Caenorhabditis elegans: one gene and its partner. The protein of the gene in region 2 purifies or fractionates together with the protein of the main gene of each other region. This does not show direct contact. Each region holds a gene or a part of one and is shown on either strand. Other genes may lie near its edges.

Region 1 (3,926 bases), on a different chromosome or scaffold from region 2:
ACATACGGTACCTGGTCTCGACACGACTAAAATTTATTGAAAAGGGTGTGCGCCTTTAAGGATTACTGTAATTTTAAAATCTCGTTGCTAAGCTAATATATTTATAATACGAAAAATTTAGGAAATTTTCGTAGCTACGAAAGTTTAAAATTACAGTAATCTTCCAAGGCGCACAGCATTTTTAAATTACAAAACCTTGTCTTATCGAGACCGGTACCGTATTTTTTGAACAGAAATCGCAAAATTTCGTATCAGCGTATTAAGAGACCACCAGTTCATGAGAATGCCTACTTTCTGGCACGAAAGTAGCGGAAGCAGAGAGCATGCGGCGAAGAGAGATTTAGGTGCCTTCGCTACGAGATATTAAAACAACGGTAGGCATTCTCATGATCTCATGGTTTCTTAATAATATAAATATTGCATTGGTTTTTTTCTCTATCTCATGTCAATCTCTGTTCAGGAATATTTAGCTGCTAAATGTCTTATTCAACTGAATCCCGTACTTCCCGAATGAAACTTTAAACGATTCATAAACACAACAAGGCAACATTGCGAACAAATAAAAATGGGAAGGAATGAAAAAGACAACAAATTAAAGAAATTAGCGGCATCTAAACTACTTCTTCTTTTTCTTTTTAGCATTCACGAGGCTATCTTCGGCATCTGGAGCTTCTTCCATTGGCACGTCGTTCAATACTGTTTCGGATCCCAGTGTCATTGTTTGAACTTCTTCCTCCTCGTCGTCATCGTCGAGTCCGTCAAGAAGATCGTTGACTTCCTCTACTTCGCGCTTAAACAGTAATAAATAGTAAAAAAATGTTTAAATAAAATCTTAATTTCACAAACCTTTCGGCTGGAAACTGCAACAGTCTGCTTCTCAGTCACTTCAACTTGTCCAACACTATTCTGAATAGTTGTAAGTTGCTCGGCGAGCAATGTCTCCTCATCAACATCTTCTTGCTTGACTGATCCGACACTCAATGGATTCTCATTAAGAATAACACTTGGTTGGTAGAGACTTCTCTGTGTGAACGACTCAGGCTCAGTTTTGATTACAGGAGCACGAATTTGACGAGAAGCTGTAGTTCCAGCTGTGAGAATGAGTGATGGAGTGGTGATTGCAAAACCATCCGGACGTTTGAATGCGCTTCTGAAATATTTTACAATTGAATAATAATTTCAAAATTTGAAAATCTAATGTTACCTTTCAATTTGATCCTGTTTAATGACGTCACTAACAACTGCAGTGAGCGCTTCCGCACGAGCCATTGCCAACTTTACGCAACGCTCGATCTTAATAATTTTAAAGTCATATTCGAAAATTTGAAATGCGAAATTGAATACCTGCTTTGTTGATAAAATGAGATTTGTGCTCTGATGGAGGGCACAAACTTCGCGACGCTTATTGCAGGCAACTACAATTGATCCATCAAGACATGCAGTTTCTTTATCTGTTGGATCGATGACTACAATTTGTCTGAAAATTAAAAATTAAAATGAATTTGTGACAGAAATCAAACCCTTTATCCAATAATCCGATGGTTGTACAAATTGGCATATGGTAAATGTTCAATGGAACTGGTGCTTTTTCGTATTCCGAATACTGAAATTTGTGATTACTTAAGAACTTTAAAAAAATTCAAACTCACGATAAGAGTGTGATGTGGTTCCAAAGTGACATTTGGTCGTCTAAAATGCTGAAGAGCTGTGATAGCAGCGAGACAAGCACAATCAAGAAGACTTCCATCTTCGTCAAGAATTCGGACATCTACTCGAATTTTCCAAATTTCTTTTCCAGCGCGAATGCAGAGAGCCTGGAATTTATTTTTGTAATTTAAGTTCTCTACAGCTCAATTCACCTCAACATCAATACACCGAGAATCACGAATAATAAGCTCCAATAGACGAATCAGTTCCATTCCTTTGCTCCCGAGACGGTCATGCTCATTGGCTAAAAAAAGGATAATTGTTAATCAAAAATAGGAATCTAACCATAATTAGCCATTGGACTCAAATCAACGTCAATATTAATAACTCCTTTGTGTGGTCTCATTGACGATGGTTCAGCGATTTCGGCACTTACTGCAGCCATTACTCTGAAAATTCAAAATTTATGACTATAAATAATAAGGAAAAACTAACGAACTTTGTATTTCCAATAGTGCAAATTGCAGTTCCAACTTCTGCTCCGACCACTAACTTCACATCCCGAAATTCTTCCAGACTACGAAAATCAAATCTCTGAAAAAAAAATTAAAAATAAATCCAATGAAACCAGTTTACTTTTCCAATTTTCAGCGCCTCTAATATCACAGCCTTCTCGCAGTTTGTCACCGGTTGAACTCTCATTACTTCTGAAGTTAGATTTTAAAGTAATTATTTTTTCGAACTGTAAGTACTCAAGGCGTTTGAACGCGAACCACTAGCTAGAATACAAAAAAGAAGCAAGAAACATATTATTTTGAACAAGAATCAATGCAAGGTGTAGTATTAAAATCGAAAATTGATAACAACAATTTGAATATCGGAAAAGCAAGAGATTTTCAGAAGTAGATTTCTCGGCAGACATTTATTGTGTATTCATCGTGGCGAGTTGAGACTGAACCTTGGTCTGGAATGCGTCCGAAATATAGGCCCGAGTTCTTCGCTTCTCTTTCAGAATTCCCTCAACTGTCTCAACCTGATATAAATAAGATTAAATACTCAAGTAAGACACTTTCGATGTTCGTACCTGCTTTGTAATATGTTCCTTTTTACGGTCAAAAATTGCTTTGGCTTTCTCGCGGTCCAGCTCCACGAAGTATCCAGTTCCGATCTCCACCAAATGCTTTGATGGATCAGATAGTTCAGCACGGATGTAGAGCTGAATAATCATTAATTATTAAAAAAGTACAATGAAAATATACCGATTCAGAAAGTGGAATGAGAGCTGTATGTCCTGCAGTTGCAATTTTCACATCGTCCAAAGCAGAAATACTTTTTTCGTTCCGCGTTAAAAGACCCTGCAAATATTTTTATTAATTTGAAAAACAAATACGAAATTCAACAAACTTTAAGAGCATTGAAAGACTCCTGGAAGAAGTTTAATTCTTGTTCGCAATTCTTCTGGAGTTCTCCGAGTTGTTGCAAGCTGAGCTCTGACAGCGGTACTCCTTTCGGTTCTTCTGCCATTCTAAAATTATTTATAATTATTAAAGAAGAATATTTATAACAATCTTTATTGAAATTATGATCTAAAAATGGATAAAAGGATAATGAAAAAATAAGCATTAAAAATCGGTGAAATTTTCTCGAATTGAACCATTGGCCTAGAAAATTCAAATGTGCGCGGCCACGGCCACTGTTGGCGGTAATTCAAAAATAATATTTTAAGGAAGGACGAAAAGTAGATTTTTGCTCTATTCATCAAAATATATTGAAGGTGTTTTTTTTTTAGAAAAATTAATTGAATAATATTTTATGGAGATTCCAACCAATTAATACCGATTTTGTAACTTTTATTTGAAGACATTTAGCTCCAACACCAGACTTTTCTCCTTTGTTTCCCTGCAATGTTGTGTATCTTCTTGAGGGTATTCCCCGATTTCGCCTTCACTTTTTTATTTGTTGAATCATAAAAAAATTCCGGTGTATAATAAATTAGACTGGGATACTTTGAACTATTAGTTCGAAAATCAAACATCATTTGCAGTTTGGAACTTCTTGGCGGATCTGTTTCATTTGAAAAAGGCATAACTGAAATACAACATTTTTTGGAAAGGTAAAGCTACTACAACCCCTAGAATTCTATAAACTCACAAAGATCCCTTCATAAAATTGTTTCCTTTTTATAGACGAATCTTCTCGAAGTGGAAAAGTTGTTTTGAACCTTCAAAGATATCACTTTCATCTCCTTATCATTCAATTTCCTTTTCTCTAATCTCTCT
Region 2 (3,926 bases):
AACATATTCTTCAACGTCACGGAGTCGAATTTTCTTCTCTGGAGCAGTCCATTGGTCTTCTGGCAAAAGTTGAACTGCGACGGTATCTCCATTGACGGCACGATTGCAATTATTTCCTAAAATTCGAAATAAAAATTTTATTATTCAGAGAATTGGAATTTTTGGAAAAATTTCACCTTTTTTAAAAATATAATTTCAGAGTTGTTTCGCTCAAAATGACCGAAAACCACCTAATTTCGTTATAAAAAAGTTTTTTTAAAATTCTCAGCAAAAAGTAATGACTTGTGTGAAAAATTTGGTTGGTTTTCGAAAATAAATATTTCAACTAAATTCAAGCACCTGTGATGAACCAAGATGTTAACTGATCATCAATAATAACAGTAGCTTCGCGATAATTTTCTCTTGAAACACTGAAATTTCCTCTTTTGATCGTTCCACTGGCAATTCCCTCCATAATTCTATCATGCGATAGATATTCATCGAAAATTTGTTTCTCATTTCCATTTCCAGAGCTTTCATACGCAGCCATTTGATCCAAAAGTGCTTGTTTTCCTGGATCCTCCAAATTTTGTATGTATTCCTGAAAATTTGGAGATTTTTTCTTTTTCTACGGGGTTACTGGATCATTTTTCAAACTTTATTGTACTTTATTATACAATTTTTGATTAAGGATCATGATTTTTAGTTGAATAAAAGTTTAGTTACGGCGAAAATATGTTAAAGAGGTGTATATTTTAGGGTTTTTGGCTGAAATAGTCTGAAACTAGCTCGGAACGACAGAATTTCATTATGAGTCTTAAGAAATCAAAAATTTTCTTTTAACAAAATTTGGCTCTTTTTCGAAATTTCGCCAGTTTCAGAAAAGATCCACAGAGTTTTGAACTTTTCGACTATTAACCTTTAAATACATCACGTGTTGGTAGTGATTTTCCATTCTTTTTTTCGAATCTTCATCAAAAACTAAGACAACAGGAGCCACGTTATGCTTCTGCCAATGAGTTTTCAAGTAAAGAGCTGTTGAAAGTAGAAGCTCTTCGCCACGACTCAAATCCTCAAATTTCGATGATTCGGAGAAGGTCTCGCAGTGAAATTCGTTCATGAACACGTGAAATCTGTCTTTCGCATCTTCATAACACAAAGAATTCATTTTCTTGTAGGCTGGTACAGCTTTTGCTTTGACTCCTTCCCATACAGTCTGGGTTACGATGAGATCTCTGAAAATTAAATATAATTTATTATTTTACAGAGTTTTTAATTGAAACTAGATGTTTGTTACAATCCCGACAACTTCTAAAAACTGAATTTGGAGCAACAAATTAAGAATTTAATAATTGGACAGTAGAACCATCTACATTTAAATGATTCCGCTGTAATTTTAATTCATTACCTCAATAAAGACGAATCAAACAAATCGTAGAATCTGATTAATGATGTGGAATCCACAATCAGCGCGTGCCTTCCAACTTTCGCATTTCTTACGGGATTTTCAATTTTTAACAGCGGATTTGTGCCGAAATCCTTGCAGGTTCCACATTGAGCAAGTCCACATGAAAGATCATTTCGTAGATATCTTTCTTCGGCTCTCTGCAAAATTTTAATTGGGTTAGGTGATTTCGGAGAGGTTTTCTCACTTTATAGACTTTCCCCGAGCGATTTTGGAAGTAAGTCGTGTGCAAAGCGACGGAATGAATTCCACTTTGTTTGACGTTCAAATCCATACCTTCAAATAATGAAAATACGTGTGAAAAACAAATAAAATCGCACGAATCAGGTGAAAAATGAAGGAAAAACTATTTTATTCGAAGAAAAACTCAGTGTACATTTACGGTGAACAACACGCGCGAGTGGAACATCGGAGTGTCGTAGGCACTACGAAAACGAACACTTCGAACAACACTGCCATCGCAGCTGCGAGGAAAAATGAAATGAAAAGGAAGAATATATCTAAATAGAGTATGGCTAAAATCATGAAAACGGAAGTTTAAACATCTAAAATAGATAATCGGGTAGGAAACATGATTATCTAGGGCCTCATAACCTTAAAAAATAATGCTCAAAACGTTTTTAGATTTTTGAAAATTTTTCAGTCATAGATTTGGTAAATTGCCAAACTTTTTTGTCTTACAAAATTTAATGCGGATGAAACTAAATAATCGCCACTTTTTGATTTTTTTTCATGTATGTAGACACAGCACTGTCCTCAAGGATGAAATCTGACCAGACTTTAAAATGTTAAATTTGTCAAGATGCAAAATATTTATTGTTTTAATGTTAATTTTTGGAAGCAATAAGAACAATAAAAACATTAAGCGAAATATAGAATCTCATTATTGAAAAAAAACGGGTAAGAACATGATAATGAAATACATATCTCGATGGACTTCCATAAGATGTTTAAGAATCGGTTACTGTAGAATTTGGAGTTGAAGAATTGGTTCTACCCAGATAAATTGAAATGTCTTCAGATCCATTAAACTTTGTATGTGATCTTGATCTTCTTCGTTCCCGTATTCTAAAATTAAAATACCTCCAATTTGGATATTTTTCTTCATTATATAATTTTTATCGAAAATTCGAAAATTTACTAAACCCAGCATAGAATTCAATACCAAGGCTTTCATCTAGAGAAAATTTGAATTCGGAATTTCAAATAGAAAAATACATAGCAGAGCTGAGACATTATATACCAGGGATCTTTCCTTTTTCGAAAATTCGAAAATTTACTCGAACCAATCAATAAAGTATTTTTCTCTCATATCAGCAAAAAAAGTTGTGATCGGTTCACTTGTTAATTTCTTTGATTTGTAAGAAAAATACACCCTCCTCGACCTTTACGGAGCAAAACAGCTTTCAGGTTTTGGAGAGATGGGCTGGGTTAGTAGTATGGTTGGGTAGTCTTCTGAACTGAATGACTACTGGAAGATTAAGGTAGGATTACTATAGTTCCAAACGATTTACAATAAATCCCGGATGCTTATGTTAAGGGCATCGATGGAACACAAAACTTGTTCGCTTGAGTATTAATATATATTCAATTTGCAGATTAAAACAGAAAAACAGAACATATACTTGAAAAAAGTTTATTGTTAAGAAACCCAGTTCACACATCCTATGGATTGTACTCGATTGGAAGGTTCTTGCGACGAACCATACCGTCTCCCTGGAACCATTCACGACGGAATTGCTTGGCAGCTCCATCCGGGGTGTTGGTCCACTCAACAGTGATACGGTCGTTGTTGGTATCCTCTTGTCCGAAGGCGAAAGCATCGCAGGAAACAGCAAGAAGCACAGCTTCCTTTGGATCGAGAACTCCACATGGTGGATCAACTCCAAGTCTCTTCATATTGGTGGTCTTGATACCATATCCAATACGACGAGCCGATGAGTTGATCACCTTGATGTGATAGGTGTGCTTGTCATCGTATGGAGCATTAAAGACGATCTTCGCGTTTGGTTGGGTTTGGATGTCTCCTGGTGGGACGGATTGGGCCATGGTCGTTCGATGAAGGAGTTATGAAAACTCTATGAAGATTATGGCAAAATATTCTCAATTTATAGCAACCTTCTTATCACTGTCCCAGATCTATAGACTACAAAACGTGGAAAAGGGTAATGAGATTTCACGGGGAAATTTAAAGTTTATTCGGGAAAATTCCCGATGATATTATTCATTACTTCATTCTCTCGTCTTGTTTCAAAAATGGATAATCACGACGATAAGTCAAAATCAGATCGTTTCTGTGATATAAATGTGAGTTTATTCAATTATAACATTCAGTTAGAACCAGTTCAAGTCTAGAAGCTTAATAAAAATTTTTTAATAAAAATTTTGATATTTTATAGAACAACATGACTACTCAATTTGATAGGCTATCAATAAATTCAGACGCTTCTTTGGTAATAGTGAGTTGAACTTGAATTTTTTA

What was found.
Region 1: the proteins of dis-3 (region 2) and exos-9 fractionate together in Caenorhabditis elegans (co-fractionation; one large-scale study listed by BioGRID). This does not show direct contact.

Annotation. Positions count from the first base shown.
Region 1 is NC_003281.10:7,195,713-7,199,638, forward strand, and holds exos-9 (Exosome complex component RRP45), read right to left. Parts: upstream 2,355-3,926; 5' UTR 2,350-2,354; coding exon 2,284-2,349; intron 2,242-2,283; coding exon 2,147-2,241; coding exon of another isoform or gene 2,143-2,146; intron 2,097-2,142; coding exon 1,993-2,096; intron 1,952-1,992; coding exon 1,860-1,951; intron 1,815-1,859; coding exon 1,650-1,814; intron 1,604-1,649; coding exon 1,521-1,603; intron 1,478-1,520; coding exon 1,345-1,477; intron 1,294-1,344; coding exon 1,205-1,293; intron 1,151-1,204; coding exon 847-1,150; intron 791-846; coding exon 617-790; 3' UTR 513-616; downstream 1-512. Other genes in the region: pfd-5 (putative prefoldin subunit 5), read right to left, coding at 2,570-2,680, 2,732-2,863, 2,907-3,002, 3,052-3,171.
Region 2 is NC_003282.8:10,095,000-10,098,925, reverse strand, and holds the start of dis-3 (putative exosome complex exonuclease RRP44), read right to left. Parts: upstream 1,725-3,926; 5' UTR 1,719-1,724; coding exon 1,632-1,718; intron 1,585-1,631; coding exon 1,388-1,584; intron 1,215-1,387; coding exon 899-1,214; intron 581-898; coding exon 340-580; intron 117-339; coding exon 1-116. Other genes in the region: msp-36 (Major sperm protein 10/36/56/76), read right to left, coding at 3,110-3,493; C04G2.5 (BTB domain-containing protein), read left to right, coding at 3,701-3,751, 3,844-3,903. UniProt on the Caenorhabditis elegans protein: Putative catalytic component of the RNA exosome complex which has 3'->5' exoribonuclease activity and participates in a multitude of cellular RNA processing and degradation events. Has both 3'-5' exonuclease and endonuclease activities.